2 linked regions of the Astyanax mexicanus genome follow. Each later gene encodes a partner of the first gene's protein in a complex. Links are inferred from orthologs where the notes say so. Each region holds a gene or a part of one and is shown on either strand. Other genes may lie near its edges. The genes, in order: tubgcp5 and mzt1.

Region 1 (10,480 bases):
TATTAGTGTTAAGTGTGTGTGCCCTTACCAGCCCAAGTGACTTGTACTGTCTTATTGTTTTGTTCCTGATCTTCCTGTGGTGTTCTGTCAACCTGTATCCCAGAATCCTCTCTGCTGATGGGCTGCTGACTTTCTTCTTCCTCGCTTCCATCCTCTGACCACTCCTGAAAATAAATATGTACAAATATATATTCACTACATCTGTAAATTACACAGATTTACAGCTCAAACCTTGTTAGGTTATTAGTCCAAGATGTAAATTGAAAGCTATAGCTGTTTATGTCACTGGCAGGCTAAATAAACATGTGCTAAAAATATATGTTTTACAATACTGCAGCAATACACAGTACACAGCAATACACTAAGATTTATTGTTTAACTCAGCATACTCACTGGAGTGTCAGGAAAAGGCCCTGTTTCAATATCCTCTCCTTCCATTAAGTACTTAGCCCAGTCAAAGGTGTCTTTCATTTCTGCAACGATTAGTTTTATTTGACTAAAGATTTATACATTTACTACACAAGTCAGAACACACAAGTATTGACACAAGAAAACTTACCAGATTCTTTTAGTCTGGGCCTTTCACTGTAGTTAGTATTACATGGAGAATCAGACAGGAAGAGTAACAGCGCCAATATCCCATGGTGGATATCAGTCTATACGAAACAGTAAAAAGCCAACTTTCAGTACATACAATACAACTCAAAGGTTTGGATACACCTCTTCTCATTCAATGTTTTTCTTTCTTTGTTTCTTTCCCTTTGAGGTTTTCCATGGTGAATTTAATATTGAAGACATTAAAGTTATACAGAAACATGTAAAGTTAGTTTTGAACAAAAAGTGGTAAACAAACCAAAATATATGTGTGTTTTATATTTTAGATTCTTTTAAGAACCACATTTAGCTTTGAGGACAGATCTGCACACTCTTGGTGTTTTAATCTCGGTGTCCTTATGAGGAAGAGTCATCTGGATTAGTTTCCTCAGCATCTTGAAGAAGTTCCTGGAGGTGCTGAACAATAGTCGCTGCTTTTCCTTCCAAAAGCTCCAGCTTATCCTAAATCTTTATTAAGTAATCCCATATGTGTCCCTTAATTGTTTTCACGTCTTTAATATTAATCTACAATGTAGAAAATAAATAAAAGAAAAACAATAAATGAGAAGGTGTGTCCAATCTTTTGACTGGTAGTGTATACTTTGCAGGTTTCTTAATGTTTTAAAGTAATCTAGTATGATTTTAGAGTGTTTTACCATGGTACCCTCAGCAGTAGGAAGAGGGGAGTTCAGGAATTCCTCAGTCAGTCGTGTCCAGCTCTCTGCTTTACACAGGTCTGAGTGCACCATGAGTTTCTCATATATTCTAAGAAATGCAAGAGGTGAACATGTTATCAGTTTGTAAACTAAGCATAGCTGGAAAGGTAAGAACATGTGTCTCTGGTAGTTTGTTTCTTCGGTAATAAATCTTATACCTTTTGAAAGCCTGTTAATTTCTCTTTAATTTGTAATGAACATGCATTTGTGGGATAAGCAGCAGAGCTGAGTATGTGTGTTGTGCCCGTGACAAATTTGCCATTCCTCTCTGCCATTGCCAAACAGCTCATCTGTCCTCTTCTTGACTAATTTGGTGTTTGACCATCTTCTTGGGCCGCTAACTTTTACAGACATCCCCTGTAGCCTTCAACTTAGCCTTTAATTTGAAGATGCTACTATGGCTCACTCCAAATAACGCTGCAACTTTTTTTTTTGGAACACCAGCTTGAAGTTGGCCTTCCACATGGTCCCTATCCAGATCAGACAAATGTAGCATGCCTATACTTTGAGCAGACACCAACTGACCACAGTAGCATAGCCCATGCTCACATGCACTGCTAATAAGGCAGCACCCGGGGGAACCAGTGGCTTAAAACAAGGGTTAATAGCAAAATAAGCTGTATAATAATAAGAATAAGAATATTTGGCCAATTTTTCATGCAATCCACATACTCAGCACTGCTGCTCATCCCAAAAGTATGTGTTCCTTAGAAATGTGGCTCCATTAAAAATAATAATAAAGAGGCTTTATAGTTGTATGAGATTTAATGTCAAGAAGTATTGTTACAACATAAGCCCTATCCAGATAGGATTAGTTTCTCAGGAGGATGTCTATGAAAAATATTTCATACTTTCACTTAGTGGTAAAACCTCTGCATCTGGAGTGAAATTGAAAAAACAGGAGGACCAGTGAGTTTTTTGAGACTTTTGCAGTCACATGACATCGCGTTCAGCAGCTCCTCCATTTCCATTCGCTGTTGTGTGGAAACGTGGAAACGTGCGCCCAACATGACAAATAGCTATGTTATTAAACGCGTCCGGATAGGGCTTAAGAAATAATCTTCCAAACACAAATCTCCTTACATTTTGTGTTATGTTTTAATTAAATTAAACACAATCTTATTCTCACCCATTTATTGAGCGCTGCACATTGTGGCTGCTGACATCCAGGAAACGGTGAAACCTGGCAAGATAAAGAAAAGTAAAAATCAACTCTTTAAGGACAATTTAATACAGTAAAAAACATATAATTACAAACATGAACAGCTTAAGAATACAGCCTGAGCCAAACATGTCCTTACTTGAAATTTGACCAGGCGAATTTGAGAGCCATTTGGAAGTTTTGGTCCTCTTCATCTTGAATGCCAGTCATGTGTGCTATCAGTCTCTTCACCTCCTGCTCCAGCTCCTTCTCAAATTTGGTCCAGTGAGCCATCCTGCAGACACTTAGCTAAGTTAGCTAACTAGCCAATTGTAAATACGATTTTAAAATTTTAAATTACTCTTATATCTCTTCCTACTGCCATTCTGGCTTCACAGGTCTAGCTGAGCTGATTCTGTAGGTTTTCACTACGTTCATTTTAACAGCGTGAACCTTGCTTACTATCGTTAGCTAAGTTAGCTAGCCAACCGCTTAGCATCATCATAACGGCGGTTTCAGTCATACAGCTAAGACCTAGCAGGCTATCTAACCCAGCGAGCTCAGCGAGCAGGTCCTCCCCTCACAGTATTCACAGGTGCTGCGGTTATTTCCCCCCTTTACTCAGTGCTTGCTATAATAATCCTGTCGCAGTTCAGTCTCGATTTAGTGAACTGATTCGCTGCTCATTCAGTTCAGCCCGTTTCTCCTTCTTGCCGCTCAGCCTGTTTTGATGCTCCTTCTGTGGTTAAACACGAACGTATCAAGCATTAGCAGCTCTATACCGCCTCCTAGCCAACCTAGCTATAACTGATCCCAGATACACTGAGGCCCATAGACATCTATCTTGAAGCCCAATCCCATTAATAGTTTGTACCTCTACCCCTTGTTTTAAACTGTAGCCCCTTCCTTTGGAACAGAGTTACAAGAAGAAGGGGTGAATCATCCTCCTCAGAATTGGATGAGGATTCAAGAACAATAGATAGCAATGGAGCGCTATATAAGTTAAGTAACCTAGCTGCTGGGACTCTTTATCATGTTTCAGTAAACCCTAAGTCCAATTATTCTTCTTTAAACCATTGCTAATGTTTAAACAAATGTCACATTTTTGTGGTTCCTGAAAAACGTAGAAGTTAAGCGATTATTTTGGGAAGGTTTTGGTATGCACCCTTACCTTGTCTTTATTAACCGACTTATTTTCTGGATTTGGGAATTTTGCCTATTTGTGAACTTTTGTGCTTTCATATTTTGCATTTTTTTGTTTTTCCAGGATTCTATTTTGTGTGCTTGTGGTCTTATTCTGTTTGGTCTTTGCCTGATGTTGGCACCCGCTTTGTGATTTTCTTATCTTGCTTTTTTCTCTAGGCACAGGCATTTTAGGTAGCTTATCTGATCATGAACTTTTGTTTTACCTGTAGTTTCTTCTCTTTTTTTGCTGATTGTGAGCTCGTATTTTAAAGGCTGCTGGCCTTTATGTTGTGTTTGTGTGTCTGCTAGTGTACTCTACAGTCTCTCTCTCTCTCTCTCTCTCTCTCTCTCTATCTCTCTCTCTCTCTCTCTCTGTCTCTCTCTCTCTCTCTCTCTCTCTCTCTCTCTCTCTCTCTCTCTCTATCTATCTCTCTCTCTCTCTCTGTCTCTGTGGTGTGGGCGTGTTTGTTCCCTCCCCCTCTTCCAGAAGTAGCGGAGCTGAGGGCTGTTGATAGTCCTGTGTGTACCGGGGGCGCCAGATCCGAGTGGATCGCCGAGCCGAGCGCTGCGGCAATGAAGAGGAGGCTTCAGAAGAAGTACATCATCCTCATCGTCGCCTACTCGGTCCTGCTGCTGCTCGTCCCGTACGTGCTGGACTACCGCGGTCACTCGGCTCACGCCAAGCATGCAGTGCAGCAGCAGAGGTGCCCCGACCTGGAGAACACTATGGCGCTGTGGAGCGGCATCGGCGGCGGAGCGGCAGGAGGAGCCGGAGGAGGAGGTAACGGTACGGAGGCGGCGGGCGAGGACGGCGGCATCAGGAACGACACCAAGATCCACATCTATCTGCACGCCACGTGGAGGACGGGCTCGTCGTTCCTGGGCGAGCTGTTCAACCAGCACCCGGACGTCTTCTACCTCTACGAGCCCATGTGGAATATGTGGCAGGCGCTGTACCCGGGCGACGCGGCCAGCCTGCAGGGCGCCGTGCGCGACATGATGAGCTCGCTGTTCCGCTGCGACTTCTCCGTGCTGCGGCTGTACGCGGGCGCGGCCAACGTCAGCACGGCGTTCGTGTTCGGCTGGAAGACCAACAAGGTGATCTGCTCCGAGCCGCTGTGCGCCGCCTACAGCAAGCGCGACGTGGGGCTCGTGCAGGGAGACGTGTGCGCGCGCTGCCCGCCCCGCGACCTCGCCGAGCTCGAGCGCGAGTGCCGCAAGTACCGCGCCGTGGTGATCAAAGACGTGCGGGTGCTCGACGTGGGCGTGCTGGCTCCGCTCGTGCGCGACCCCGCGCTCAACCTGCGCGTCGTGCAGCTGTTCCGCGACCCGCGCGCCGTGCACAACTCGCGCCTCAAGTCCAAGCTGGCGCTCGTGCGCGAGAGCATCCAGGTGCTGCGCAGCAAAAAGCACGCAGACCGCTACCGCCGCCTGCTCGCGCCCGGCGCGCGCGCCAACCGCGCCGAGAACTACGTGGCCAGCGCCATGGAGCTGATCTGCGACGGCTGGCTCGGAGACATGCTGCTCGTGGCCAACGCGCCGCCGTGGCTGCGCAGGAACTACATGCAGATACGCTACGAGGACCTGGTGCTGCGGCCCGTGGACGAGCTCCGGCGGCTGTACCGGTTCTCGGACCTGCCGGTGTCGCCCGAGCTCGAGAAGTTCGTGCTGAACATGACGCGCGGTCGAGGATACAGCTCGGACAAGCCGTTCCTTATCTCGTCCCGGGACGCCAAAGAAGCCATCTACGCCTGGAGGGAGCGCCTCAACGTGGAGCAGGTCAACCAGGTGGAGGCCTACTGCAGCGAGGTCATGCGCCAGCTGGGCTACCAGAAGAGGAACCCGGACCAGACGTAGAGTACAAGTAAGCAGAAGGAACCGTGGAGTCTGAGCATGTGTGTTTGTGTGGGCTGATGTTTACATAATTTTCACTCTAGTGTCTAGTAGAGCACTGAGGAGGATCTAGTGATCCTGGAGGGCTAAACTCCAGCACACTTTTGAGCTTTACCTGCTCAAACAAGCCCAACTTCATCCCACTCGTTTATTTTCAAATTTCTAGTGCTAGGACAGAGGAATCAGCATAAATCTGTGCTGGCCTCCCTTGGCTCCAAACCTCTGAATACCCTCGCTAAAAATACCATATGCTTGAATCAGTAGGCATACTGCATTGACCAGAAACAATAATCAAACATCCCACCAAGCTAGTTAGCAGACAGCAATAGCAATGGCATACATATATGGTGTGTGGAAACCCGAGCTAGTCTTCTATGTATGCAAAATTTGTGTGAGTGGCATATGCATCTATGTGAATCGCTTTTTGGGTGTGCTTGAAAGTTTTAATTAGGTCATGTGTGTCACACGGCCTAAAAATGGTTTAGAGATTTGCTCCAGTCATGATCTAACACATTTAGCTAGTACAGATAATAAACGTCAGCTTAGTCCTTAGAGACCTGCAGGTGGTGTACACCTGTGGGGACCTAAGCATACTTGTGTTTTTCCTATTCAGCCCTCTCAGACAAATTAAATATCTGTGTATATTTAAACAATTCAGCTTGTTTAGTTTAAATGTTCCCTGGTGGTAATAATAGTACTATATAATGACTGTATAATATCTGGGTAGTTTTGAAAGTTACAGAATAAACTGTTCACACCCACATAAGTACAGTCATTTGGATAATCAACAAGATATTAAATAATGAAAAGTCTTTGCACCAAACACACAAACATTGCAGTGTGTGACTTCACTGAAGTTTGACTTCAGCTTAATTACTGCTGAAATCTCCACACAGCTGATCCAATCAACTAGAAACACCTACTTACCTGGTACAGGTGAGCCTGGAGGTCCCAGAGGAGTGTACTGGGAATTGCTGGTCTGAAATGATGAGGTATGGTGACTGAGCATCATCATAGTGTAAACTAGAAGAGTGTACCTTTTAGTGGTTTATTTTTTATTTTTTGATACTGAAGCTTTACTATATTTTTCTATATATTTCTTGTCAGGAGAAGGGAGTAGGCTATACACACACATTCACACAGGGAGTACAGTTTTACTGCTACTCTAATCTTCACATCATTTAATCAGACCAAACAGACACTCTGTAACTTCTATTACAGTGCATGACAACACCACTTTCGCTTTCCTGTGTGTGTTGCGTGGGGAAAAGCAGTGTGGCGTGATACACACTGAGAGTCCAGCACTCCAGCATACAGCGCAACAGGCCACTGCTCTTATTATAATATGGTAAAAATAATCAGATCCCTGATCTCTGTTTTTCAAAGGAGATCACATTAAGAAGATTGAGCTGGTTTGTTGTCTATCCTATCAAAAATGAATGCTCTTTAAAAGGCTGTTATTGCATCATTTTGCTATTATATTATAAGATCAAATACGAGAGGATAATCACCCTAGGGATATGTGTACATAGATTTTGCATATGCCAAAATGGAATACTATCATACTAGACAGTCATATAGAAGTCCTAACAGTATACCAATATTAGTATTGTAGTTATTATTGCAGTATAGTAGTGTAATTTTTTTTATCAGTTGAAAAATACGTCAGTCGGACCAATTAAATTCAAATGAAGTCTTAAAAGAAACACCAATACTGGTTCACAGTTCTCCAGCAGACAGCAGTTCATGCCAACTATATACTATAACTAAAATGTTCATATCATAGGTCAGCATGAGGGTTTGCTTAAATTGCTGGAAGGTTTTCCAGGTCATCAAGTTGTCCAGCTGTAGCAAGTCCTGGTACGATTTTGGAGACGGTTTGCCAGGAGGCAGTCTGACAGTAAACAGTGTTGTTCCACCACCTCCATCAATACTACCCTGTGTTTATACACCATAGCTGTATATAGTTGTAGCCACAATTGTAGCCATTTTTGAATCGCTTGACTGACATCCCTTAACAAATCCATTGTTAGTGTTTGCAGAGCTGCTTTTGTTTGGGTTTTGTACATTTGTGTTAGTTTCTTATTGGCTCTAACAAAGAACTTTAGTGTTCTCATTTGAAATACCATATAAAGCATATTTAAACTAATATTACAGGTCCAGTCTTATTACTATTCAGTGTACACATTACCGTATGCTGTTTTCCCAACTGCCTGCCACCTCCTATTTTCCACAGAGTCCCATGGGAAGCGACTGCTCAGTAAAAAACAGTGCATGTGCTTTTTTGGCACAGTGGGATGAATCCCTCGGAGTTCAGAAGAGCTCCTTAATGTCTGTTCCATCAGCAGCATTATTGAACTAATCAGATTACATTACAAAAGAAGAGATTAAATCCATAAACAATGAACTAAAACAAGCTCCACACAGTATTTTGTAAAAGCTGAAAATAAAGAGGAACCAGAGAGAGGAGCTGTGATGCATAGATCAAAAAGTATTAGGTCAGGATAACGAGACATCTAACATCTAAAAAGAGCAGCATTTTCTCTCAGTTCCTCCAAACTCAACACTATAACATGACTGACAGGAAAGTTACGTTTTGTCGCAATATAGCAATTGTGAAATGTGGTAGTCAACATACAGTAGTTCAGATCATCATCATCTGCTTTCTTTATCTGGCAACCAATCAGGGCTAGAAGAGAAAAAAGGTAAAGGGGTGGTTTTGGAGGGTGGAGGTGCCTCCATATCAACAGAAAAAGATAAGAAAGTGAGCTATAAAAATAAACTGTGTACAATGGCATGCTACAGTTTAAATACCAAATACTTCATAGTTCTGTTTTTTTTCTGTTTGAAGTAAGGAGAAAAAAAGAAGTACCATGCAAATGTAAGGCACCCCCAAGATATTTGTTTATAATCATCATTAAGAAAGGCCAGATGATGAAAATTTCGGAATTCCTGCCTTGACAACCAACAGCCATTGGCTCTTCTAAACAACTGCCTAGAAGGGGTGTATAAAATATGGTTGCCTGTAGACAATGGTACAGTTACAGTATAGCCGGTACAAACCCCTACTGCCTAGCATACCAAGCATTAAAATAATTAAGGCCCGCTAAGCAGGAGAAAGCTTTAAGAACATGGCAAAACATTTTGAGATTTTAATTTGAGCCATTTCCCTAGTTCATTTTGAAATTAAGAAATACAAGTTAACAGGAACACAATAACAGGAGAGAGCTCATAGAGAGAACTGCTTATTGGCTTAAAAGCCCCATTTGCCTAAAAGAAACCCTTAAGCAGTGATAAATATTGACAAATAAGTATGACCTTTACAGAGTCATTCCTTCCCTGTGCCTCATGATGCATTTAAACAAATCCTGTGGACTGGTGAATTTAAAATAGAGTGTTTGGTATAAACGAGCAAAAGAATGTTTGAAAAATAAGGGATGCAGTAATTAAAAGGGCTGTTATAATAATTTTGTTATGTACTTATTATACAATATATGAGATAAGCTAAATCATTTATGTTCGTCCATTGTGTTTCCTTACAATTGTTCAGATGCACAAAATTATATATACCTCTTCCATTATTAATGAAAAGTTTACTGTGCTTTAAAATTGTGTAATGGCATTATTATTCTATTAAATTATTATTATCAGTTGTGTAAATTGGTCAAGTAATATCCTTTATTGTGTTTTTTTCTGGGACAATATATCTTCCACAAAAATGTGGTTATCATCACTAGTAATGAATAAAAAATATTGTTCTCCTACTGTTAAGCATGTAGTGAATCAATCGTGCTTTGGGCAAAAGAAAGATTGAATAGAATTTTTAAAAAATAGCAAATTTTGGAACAAACAACACATTAACTATTCACACTAAGATTTTTAACTGTGGTGCCCAGACCATAGCATGATATTATAAATATATAATATTATAGAATAAAATTAACAGTTTTGTTTTTTGTTAAGGTTTTTTTCATATGTGATGAGCTACTGTTCTCATGTTTTGGCAACAGAGTTTTGTTTAGTGTTATTTTTCATATCAGCACAAAAAGATCTCCTTTATCAGTTCAGCTCCACCAACCTGGTTTATGTGAACACAGCCTAAGGGGAATCAGTTCACACAAAACATTTTTTTTTAAATCAAGAAACTTGCAAAAAGAAGCCAATAAGTTTGGATACTTATTATCAACAATATAACACTAATTATAATAATAACTAACATTCTGAATAAATGAACTGGAGCGGTTAAGAACCAGCATTTTCTAGCTCCAGTCTAGAAGGTCCAGCTGCATCAACACGTTTTGTTTTCCCTCCATCTGAGTAACATGTTTAGCTGAATCAGGTGTGTTGTAGTAGGAAAAACCTGGAGTGAACACCTGTACGTGTATGAGGGCTAGAGTACTGGAGCTAGAATATGCTGAACAAAGCAAATTCCAGCTAATAGCTTAGCAGCACATTTCCACTCTCCACTTGCTATCCAAGATATTTCTGTCTCTAAAAATGTTTTTTACTGAAGATAACTATCTAAATGTAGGCTGTCATACTCCAACTACACAGCAAGCAAAAGTTCTCTGAATTGTGAGGGTTTTGAAATGTTTTTATCTGAGTTTGGCTTTTTTCCTGCTTCCTGTAGATATATATATGCTTATATTTGCTTGATGCTGATGTGCTGTTTTTGCCCTGGATAGCTTCTTGTGTGTGATACAAACTGAATTCATCATGACACCTACAGTGAATTTAAACATACTTTTTATCTTGCACATTCTTTGCTACAGTCAGCCTTTTCTCACTTTCCCACATCAGTTGAATAAATTACACTGATGTGTCTTCATTTCACTACTAACAGAAAACTATTCAGTAAAACGTGTAAAACTTGTTGTTTCAAAAAGAATCATCAGGATTGAAATTTCTGCATCAATTCATCAGTACTTGTAACAACAAATGTGACGGTGGT
Region 2 (10,382 bases), on another chromosome or scaffold:
GGGCCCAGGGCCAGCGAGGCCGGCCGAGAAAGACGGGCGTCCGGAGCGGCGAGCCCGCGCAGGAGGAGTAGGGGAAGGGGGAGAAGAGCGGCGGGAGTGCCGAGATCCGGGGATGCACTGGTTAGGACGACCGACCCGGGAGGAAGAATAAGCAGTAGCCGGAGTAGAACCAGGAGTAGCCGGAATGGAGATTACGAACTTCAGACGATGAGCCCGGCGAGGTGGAGCAGGAGTGGAGACAGGCTGGCTAGGAGGGAAGAGGTCCTCGTCGGAGGCGGTGAGTTAAAGGTCCATGACGGAGAACAAGCTAATGCTAGCAGGCGGGTGCGGCAGATTCGACTGATGCGAACTTTCGTCACGAGAGGTAGTTAGTTAGGGAAGGTATTTATAGGACGGTTGATTGATACGGGGTGGAGTTAGAACGTAGAGTTGGGGCGTGGTCCTTCTCCCAAACTTTTGTTATTACATAACATCCTTTAATGAAAGAAAAATATTGAAAAAAATATATATTAGTCCGTCTTTTAAATAACGGAAATTTTATTTGCATTTTTAAGAATCTGCTGCTTCTAATGCATTATAATAATATAATAATAATTATCTGTTTGTAAAAATGTGTATATGTGTATATATATATATATATATTACAATATTACAATATTTCTACCATGTCGCCCAGCCCTAATTTGGAGCCAGTTTTTCAGACTCAAAATGAGGTTAAACCTTCCAGCTGTTATTTACTCTCAGCACGTTTCACCTGGTCTGGCTCAGATATAATGCTTGTCGGTGAATGTCCTCAGGGTCTATGTGCACCGGGAGAAGGTTCGCCAACTCGTCTATGGACCATTTAAACTTGGCTGGGGTCTGAAACACAAATTTACACAAAAAGTTTCAACATGCCCGATACTATATTATCACTGCCACAGGAAAGGAAGAGCAAGTTTATCAGAGTTACCAGCGTCACAAACTGCAAGTAGGAGTATTTTGGTTCGTTTAATGCTTTTAAGTTACTACATGATTCCTTAGGTGTTCCTTCATAGTCTGGATGACTTCAGTATTAAAGTATAATGTAAAGAGATTTAAAAAAATAAAACAGCATGGTAGGCCTGTCACAATAATTGCAATATCGATTTATCGTACAATAAATGAACATGACCTCAATAATTTTTGATAATCGTGATATCGTCTATTGTGCTTATTTGTATGTTTATAAGAGTGAACAGTATTTTAGCCAGTCATGCTTCAATAACTGTGACTTCATACACACAGTCTGGACTAAAGTAGGGATTCCCAAACTAATTATAATAAATTATTATTAAAGTTTTTGCTATCTTTAAAAAGTGTAGAATTACTTTTTTATGCTCATCATAACGTCATTTGCATTTAATAGTCTTAAAATTACAAAAATATTGTGAATCGCAATAATTTCTGGGACAATATATCGTCCACAAAAATTCTTATCTTGACAGGCCTACAGCATGGTCAAGATTGGTCCAACTGGTTGTTTAGCTTGTTTAAGACCAGTTACACCAGCTAAACTAATGCAAACAAACCCTGTACTGGTCAACAAGCTTAACCAGCTTGTCCGTCTTGTTTTTTCAGCAGGTTAGATACATTAACAATGGGGTTGAAGACAATGGCCTGGTAGGAAACCCGTTGTGGTTACTCACAGCTGACGAGGGCTTGGCGCACTTGAACACAGAAGGGCTGGGGACGAGGGGCTCGTGCAGGTGGTGGTAGTCAGTGGGACTCTCGAACGGATTACGGATGGACGGCCTTCCTGGAGTTTCAGGAGTGATCTGGACCTCAACAACATCTCCCATCCTCTGTGCTGAACGATCTTCACCTAATGCTGCAGAGGAAATCCTCAGGCTTTTAAAACATGAGGCAGGACAGCAAGAAACGAGGAGACAGTTAGATCAGGGAATGCTAATGGCTCACTTCACACGTTCATATTAGCTTATTAAATCAATGCAGAACCATTCATCAGTGATGATAAATAGTCCCATACTCTTAGAAAAAACATAAATACTCTAATTAAAATGTACTTAAAGATGCAATATGTAGTATTTTCCTATAGCTATGTTATATTATCTTTAACTAATGTGTTGCAGAGTGACAATATGTTTTATTAAGAAACAAAGATTTATTAAAAAAAAAAAAAAAAAACACAAACAATGTCATTATAAAAGATTGTCATTTATTGGTATATTGTTGAGTAATATTTATTTTTGCTGACAATCATTATTCTATAGGTATTTTGAGTTTAAAGGATATATGAAGAATGAATAAGTACAATTTACATGCAATATCTGCACAATTATACAAATAAAAATGTAATATATATATATATATATATATATATATATATATATATATATATATATATATATATATATATATATATATATATATATATATATTACTTTTTTTGTTATCAAAAAGTAAAATAACAGAATTTTAAAAAGTGTTTGTAAGCCCTTCATATTGGCTTTTGGTACTAAATTTTGGAGAAAAAAAACTGGTATGAACTTTATTATTTTTTATTTATTTTGTGTTGTAAAGAAGAAATTAGTTTTCATTCATTTATTCAATTTTTTTTTTAGTTTTTCCTTTTCTACTCCTCATAATCTAAATTTTAGGAAATTTAATTCAAGTATATATTTTTTCTGGATTTTTATATTCCCCCCATCTTGTAATAGAAGCAAGTTTGATTAGATCAGATTTTCTGTAACGAAATGCAAAAATGGAAAAAAAAAAAAAAAAAAAAAAAAAAAACATGAATAAAAATTGTTTCAACCTATTTTTCTTTAAATTCAGATTGCAGACATTAAAAAAAATAAGAAAACAAAAAAAGGATTTCAAAAAAAATATTTTCTATATTTAAAAAAACTTCGCACCAAATCAGAAAACTTAACTGTAACCCTTATACTGACAATAAGTAACATAAGAGAAAATAAGAAAAAAAAAAAAGAGATTTTATTTAATTTTAAATTTTGCGTAAAATTTTGTTTGGAAAAAAAAGTAGGCCGTAAATGGGACAAATTTAAAAACTAGGAAATAATACGAAAAGAAATAAAAAAGGACATAAGTACATTATTTATTCATTTATAATTTGTAACAATATAAATATAATTCTAGCAAAAATATACAGTAAAAAATAAATGTGTTGTTTAGCTTCCTTTTTCAAGCACAACAAATTCAGATTTTTACTTTAAAAAAAAAAAAGCTAATTTTAAACGTTACAGTCCCAAAATAAGTTAAGCAAAGTTTCTGGGTGTGCACGTCATTTTTAAAAATTAATAAGATATGGGTAAAAATAAATAATAAAAACAATCAATCAATCAATCAATCAATCAATCAATCAATAAATAAAAAAATATATATATATATATATATATATATATATATATATATATATATATATATATATATATATATATATATATATATATATATATATATTAGCATTCATAAGAAACTTATTTTCTTTAGTTTGGTCTAGTTTTTTCCCCTAGTCAGTTAGATTATTTAACTTACTTATTTAGGAAATTTCCTTTATAACACTGCAGCCCTTAGAGCTCAGCTCTGAGTAGTTAGTTAGTTAGTTAGTTAGTTATTTAGTTCGTTAGTTAGTTAATAAGTAAGTGAGTAAGTAAGTAGTACCAGTACAAGCGATTAAACTCCTGATTAAAAAACTCTAGCGCTTAATTCATCATTTATCTGCCTCATTCAGAACCGGATCAGTAAAGCGAGGTGTGAACTGCTGCTCTGTTAACCGGATTAAAGCGGATTTAACCCGAATAAACTCATAAAATCCTTAAAAACACAGAAAACACAGAACTCACCCTGACCTCCTCCTCGCTCCTGTTTCCTAGCCTGCTTTTGGTGTTCAAACGTTTGATTTAATTTTTGCTCAACGCACGCCAGCCAATCACAAGCGCGGGATTCTCACAGCGACCAATCAGAATCATTGCTCGGTGTGTGACGTCGTTTCCGCTTGCTCGCTTGCTCAAGTCCGCAGCTATGAGAGAGTCTGTATAGAGGAGAATACCCACTGCAGAAATGAATGGAAATATATGGAGCAACTGAGCAAAATTACAGTGTATTCATTTAAAGGAGTAATCTGGTGTAAAATGGACTTGGGTAGTGAAACATGATAATGAGTACAAACTTTTCTTGAATAGTCCTCACCTATTAGCCAAAGCAAAAAAAAAAAAAACAACAGGTTTACAATGCTAGTGATAGGGGCATAGAGTTTCTTATGAGAAATCACTATTTTTCAAGTCAAGTCCAGTCTAGCTTTTTTTGTCAATACTGCATATGTACAGGACATACAGAGAATTGAAATTACGTTACTCTTCTTCCAAAAGTTACAGCAAGTACAGCAAAATAATATTATAAATATAAAAGGATTAGACACACTAAATGTACAATACAACAATGTCACAGATAAGGACAGTAGGACAATAGTGATGGGGGATTAAAGAGAGAATGACAGTACCAGATTAAACAGAACTCGTACAAACATTAGTGCAAATATAGAGGTATAGAAGCTTAAGGCTGGTAAAGTGAATGAGTCCATACACTTCTTTAAATGCCACAGTCATAGGGGGAAACAGTGGGTATGGTAGTGCAGGTATAAGCAGTAGTGCAGGTATGGGGTGTGTGAGGTCCTATTAGTTCTTACTAAGTTTTTACACCATTAACAATGTCAAATTAGCTCCACACTTTATTGGTAGAATTCGTAGTTCCTGACATACGAGACATACGACAAACGAGGCACTGAGATCTATCTATCTGTCTGTCTGTCTGTCTATCTATCTATCTATCTATCTATCTATCTATCTATCTATCTATCTATCTATCTATCTATCTATCTATCTATCTATCAGTCTGTCTGTCTGTCTGTCTATCCATCTATCAGCTCCCCAAAACTAACACTAGCAGTAATGCTAGCGTCTTTCCAGCATAAAATCTGTTCCTGAAGACAAATGTAACCATATAGAAATGTTTTCTTTAGTGTTGTACCACAACTCTCTTAATACTTTCCAAAATTACAGAAATATCACAATAAAATAGTTAACTGCTATTTTTATTTAAGTTCTTAGCCCTTTAGCTTCATTCACTTCCATTTTTTGAGGTCTCACTCGCGGGCTTCCCCTAGCGGTCAGAACTCATTTACTGAATTTACTATTATATCTAACGGGTGAGATGGGAAGTGGGCCGTCTCGCTGTAAACCGGCTGTGGTGTTGAAGCTAGCTAACGCTACAGTAAATGAGAATAAACAGCTAACGAGCAGGTTTCTGCAGTTTATAGACTATTTTTATGAGTTTATTTAGACTAAATAAGAATTTAAGTATATAGTTAAAGGGTTAAAATTGAAACACGTCGGACAAACCCGGAATATAACGACAAATAGCGTGTAAATAGCTAAAGTTAAATAGTTTGTTGTTGCTGGTGCTAACGTTAGCTCGTTAGCTTATCGTTGTGATGGCCAGCGCTGCCAGTACCAACATGAACGCTGTGCGGGAAACGATGGACGGTGAGGAAACAGAGTTATTTAATCTATTTAACTACTGATTTTTTTTAATATTTTCTGTTTAATAATGTCCTTATATTAGTGAAATCCTATACAGAAGGCTTGCTAAGCTAATAGCGAAGCGAAGCTAACATAACCTGCATAGCTTACCCACCGCTCTATGTATCTGTCTGGCTGTAATGAGAGTGTTAAATGTGATTTATTATTGTTTTTATTTAACTGAAGTTTTTCTGTAATGTTGTTTGTTTTTTTCTCAAGCATAATATTTTCTGTTATTAGTCTAACATCTAAGCTATAGTGTTCACTTCATTACTAATTCATTAAAGGTTAATAGAAGCTTGTAGAAGTAACTGTTACACTAGGGCTGCAACTAACGTCTATTTTCATAGTCGACTAATCTGTCGATTTTTTCCCCCATTTGTTCGATTAGTCACGATTATTATTAATTTGGATTTCTTCATATTGTTTATTTATCAGTCACAATTATTTTTCAGTTTGGTCGATTAGTCATGATTATTATTGTATTTGATATGGTGGCTATTGTTTTTTTTTTTATTAGTCACGATTATTTTCTGATTGGTCAGTTAGTCACGATTATTATTTTTCTGTTAGCCAATTGGTCGCTGTTATGTTTTTTTTTTTTGTATCAGTCACAGTTATTTTCTGGTTGGTCGATTGGTCACAGTTATTATTATTATTTTTGATTGGTCAGATTATTCTCCATTTAGCCAGTTAGTCATAATTATTATTTTTCTATAAGTCGATTGGGCGTTTCTTTATTTGTTTATTTCAGTTAGGCTTCAGTTAATCACGATTATTATTATTTTCGATTGGTTGCCATTGTTTATTCATGAGTCACGATTAGTTTCCGTTTTGTCAATTAATCATGATTATTATATTTTAATGTATTAGTCAGTCTAATATATTGGATTAGTCATTTGGTTGCTATTATTTATTTATCAGTGACAATTATGTTCTGTTTGGTTGATTAGTCACGATTATAAGTTTTCTAGTTTTCAATTTCAAAGTTAATTGGTCTCTATTTTGAATTTTTTTGTTTTTATTTACCTATTTTTTTGTCACAAATATTTTCAGTTTGGTCAATTTTTTTTTTATTGGTTTCTATAATTTTTTTTATCAGTCATGCTTATTCTCAGTTTGGTTGATTAGTCACAATTATTAGTATCATAGAGAATTGTCTTGTGATATATCAAGTATTACAGCATCACAGTATTAGGATGTGATACTGTTTTTGTAGACAGTAACCTTGTTCTTTTTGTCTGTTTTTCAGTTCTGCTGGAGATCTCCAGGCTTCTGAATACAGGGCTGGATATGGAGTCCTTGTCCATATGTGTTCGTCTGTGTGAGCAAGGAATCAACCCTGAAGCCCTTTCATCAGTCATAAAGGAGCTACGCAGAGCCTCAGACACACTTAAGGTAACTTAAGGTGTAGTAACATAAGATAACAGAAACTGCCCACTCTGCCAAAATACCAATTGGTCTTATATAATGTTCTAATTTTCTGAGACACTGTTTTCTGGGTTCTCATTGGCTGTAAGCCATAATCATCAACAATAAAGGAAGTAAGCACTTAAAATAGATCACTCTGTGTTTAATACATCTATATAATATATGAGTTTCACATTTTGAACTGAATTACTGAAATAAAGTAACTTTCAATTTATATTCAAAATATACCACTTAATAAAAATGTGATGATCAGGTTTATAAAAATAAAAGGGATGAGATGTGCTCAGTCATTAATGAACTAACATTTCCCTATTATGTCTAACTTGATCTGTTCCAGGCCTCTGAAAACAGCACAAGTCAAGGATGACCTGCGTCTATAGTGTCTCCACTTCTAAACCCTGTAGTTGAAAAATCGTTTAGAATGAATTCTTCCAGAGACTGATTTATATTAAATGATGAACCTGAATGATGGTATTTAACCTGTTCTCTGTGCACATCGCTGGTTACATGCAGTGCTTTGGAATGGGAATTACTTTTTTGGTGGGTTTGTTTTTCCACATCAAGCCAAACTACCATTTCATCCTTGGTTTCAGTCATCCTTGCTTTTTTTATCCACTGTTCAAAATCTTCAGCTCCCTCCAGTTTCTGAGAAACTCAGTGTGATGGCCTTCCCCATGTGGACTTACAGTAATGAAGCTTTGTGAAGAAGAAGTGTTAATATTCATCTATTGTTTGTAAAAACTCATCTTTAATATAAATGTTTGTGTTTTTTCTTACAAATAAAACATGTAAATTATTGTATTCCACAATTATTTGGCTCTCTTATTTTTTTATCATCGCTGTCCAATAAAAAACACTTATCTCCAAAACAGCAGCTTTACAGGAGAGAGAAAAAAACCTTGTAAACTTTCAATGGAAGTCAATGTAAAAAGAGTTTATTTCAGGTTATTTTCTATTGGTTCGTTCATCAAGAAATTGTGGCACAGTGTGAGGGACAGTTTGTCTGTTCAAATTATGTAGTAAACTAAAAAATGAACAAAAATGGAGATAAGTGTTTTTCATAGGACAGCGAGGATATGATGTCATTTGCAGGGATCTGTGTTTGCAGCAAGTGTCCACTAGTGGGTGACAAAATACAGCAGAAGATAATGTACCACACTGTGTGGTAAATATGGTAAAGTTCAGTGGTTTTCAGTCCTAAACCTTGAATATCGCTGCTCTACACATTTTAGAGTTTATCATTGGTTCTAAAAAAACAGCTTTGAACTAATCAAATAAAATAACGTTTATTTATATAGTGCTTTTTACAACTGATGCCGCAAAGCAGCTTCACAGAAATGAGGTAGTAGAGCCGGAGGAGGAAGAGGAGGAGGAACCCTGGGGAAATCAGGGCTTACATGTACCTTATACCACTATTACTTGTACTATTAAGACTAATATACAACTCCTGAAAAAATTAAGAGACCACTTCAGTTTCTCTGATTTTGCTATTTATAGGTTTATGTTTGAGTAAAATGAACATTGTTGTTTTATTCTATAAACCACAGACAACATTTCTCCCAAATTCCAAATACAAATATTGTCATTTAGAGCATTTATTTACAGAAAATGAGAAATGACTGAAATAAAAAAAAAAAAGATGCAGAGCTTTCAGACCTCAAATAATGCAAAGAAAACAAGTTCATATTCATAAAGTTTTAAGAGTTCAGAAATCAATATTTGGTGGAATAATCCTGGTTTTTAATCACAGTTTTCAGGCATCTTGGCATCATGTTCTCCTCCACCAGTCTTACACACTGCTTTTGGATAACTTTATGCTAATCACTCCTGGTGCAAAAATTCAAGCAGTTCAGTTTGGTTTGATGGCTTGTGATCATCCATCACATCCAACCCATCATTTTTAAGTGCTCTCTTATTTTTTTCCAGAGCTGTATATAATGGGGGACCCATCCTCCTTTGGTTAGGATATAATCAGTAGTGGATAGTGAGCAGCTGATCTGTGATGAACTAACATAATTTGGAAAAAAAAGACAAAAATAACAGTGTTTTAGATTTTTTTTATTTCATATATAGTAGACACTTACATGATTATAATATACTACTGATTATTGATGTGGGCCTGGGGCTGTACAATTTTGATTCTGATTTTTGCTGTACAAAAAAATCACCTGTTTCCATCCAGCTTTTGACATAGACAGTATCTCACAAAAGTAAACTGCACTCCTCACACATTTCTGTGAATATTTTTTCATATCTTTTCATGGGATAACACTACAGAAAAGACACTTGAATATAGCTTACAGTAGTCAGTGTACAGCATGTATAGCAGTACAGTGAACATTTCCAAATAGCGAGCAATGTGAACATTTTCTAAGGTGAAGTAAAAGCAAAGAAGATTAAATAAAGATTTGCTTATTCTTTATTTAATTATATATTTATAACGTATTTATTTTTTATATATATCCTCTTTAGACCCTGCGTCCTCATATGAGGACATCACATTTCTGCTTCTCTGCAACATTATACTTAATAATTTGCAGAACTTTAACCCTTTTGGCCTCATATGGACACGTTGCTGTATCATCTAGTGGCCACATGATAACATTTAACACTTTAAGAGGGTGGGAATCCCAGTCAAAGGTTTCTACAGCCAGTTCAGACAGAAACATGGGCGAGATACAAAACTCTCATCCAGTTTTATGTTTGAAACTATTCTCCTTATGTTGTTTTTGCTTTTTTTCTGCTTACTGTCGAAAGATAAAAGGTTGTTTTTGGACTTATTTGGTAAAAGGTAGTTTTTAAATGTTAAAATAAACACCAATTTCTAATTGAAGACATTGTTTTTTTTTTTTTTGCTTGTTAGATCCGAGTCAGGGTCTCAGGAGGTTATATATTAACTTTTTTATTTTAATAATTAAAAATGTAAGGTGACCTATCCACAATCTTTGCATTGTTTTGATGACCTGTTTTTAGGATCATCCTCCAAAAAATTTAGGGCAGTTTCATATTCTACTAGTCACGTCCAGCAGATGTCAGTGTTGTATATTGGCTTTGTATGTGTTTTTGTGTGCATTTAGTTCTTTTTTCCAATATATTTTCAGTAATTAAATATTTTTTTTCATTACCCCTGTGCAATTAGGAGACAACGTGCAATCATTTGTAAATGTAATCTTAATCTTAATTCTTCATATTTTATTATTTATATTGTGTATACTGTACTCTTTACTTAATCTATTTTTTTTGTACTGAGTGTCTTGCTATCCTCTTGCCTTTGCTGCTGTAACACTATGAAATCCCCCACTGTGGGACTAATAAAGGATGATCTTATCTTTTCTTATAATTTACAGAAGAAGCACTTTAAACCCTGTAGAT

Evidence for each region.
Region 2: the proteins of tubgcp5 (region 1) and mzt1 are in contact, whole or in part, in a crystal structure (PDB 6L81), measured with the Homo sapiens proteins. The link is inferred for Astyanax mexicanus from reciprocal best matches to the Homo sapiens genes TUBGCP5 and MZT1. Residues at the interface, in NP_443135.3 of Homo sapiens: Gln14, Gln15, Asp18, Val19, Glu21, Leu22, Val23, Val26, Ala27, Gly28, Asn36, Ala40, Phe43, Ala44, Asn47, Phe48, Arg52, Phe53, Leu54, Phe72, Lys80, Ser83, Trp84, Leu87, Thr88, Glu90, Phe91, Ala106, Ser109, Ile110; in NP_001065243.1 of Homo sapiens: Glu23, Val27, Leu28, Glu30, Ile31, Ser32, Ile34, Leu35, Asn36, Thr37, Leu39, Leu44, Ile46, Cys47, Val48, Arg49, Leu50, Cys51, Glu52, Gln53, Ile55, Asn56, Pro57, Glu58, Ala59, Leu60, Ser61, Ser62, Val63, Ile64.

What each region holds. Positions count from the first base shown.
Region 1 is NC_064412.1:18,778,516-18,788,995, forward strand, and holds the start of tubgcp5 (gamma-tubulin complex component 5), read right to left. Parts: upstream 3,998-10,480; 5' UTR 3,861-3,997; intron 2,747-3,860; 5' UTR 2,746-2,746; coding exon 2,612-2,745; intron 2,494-2,611; coding exon 2,440-2,493; intron 1,360-2,439; coding exon 1,251-1,359; intron 657-1,250; coding exon 560-656; intron 474-559; coding exon 394-473; intron 165-393; coding exon 29-164; intron 1-28. Other genes in the region: chst7 (carbohydrate sulfotransferase 7), read left to right, coding at 4,210-5,493. UniProt on the Homo sapiens protein: Component of the gamma-tubulin ring complex (gTuRC) which mediates microtubule nucleation.
Region 2 is NC_064428.1:31,767,532-31,777,913, reverse strand, and holds mzt1 (mitotic-spindle organizing protein 1), read left to right. Parts: upstream 1-5,218; 5' UTR 5,219-5,491; coding exon 5,492-5,543; intron 5,544-6,831; coding exon 6,832-6,977; intron 6,978-7,347; coding exon 7,348-7,377; 3' UTR 7,378-7,811; downstream 7,812-10,382. Other genes in the region: bora (protein aurora borealis), read right to left, coding at 755-861, 1,668-1,820. UniProt on the Homo sapiens protein: Required for the recruitment and the assembly of the gamma-tubulin ring complex (gTuRC) at the centrosome.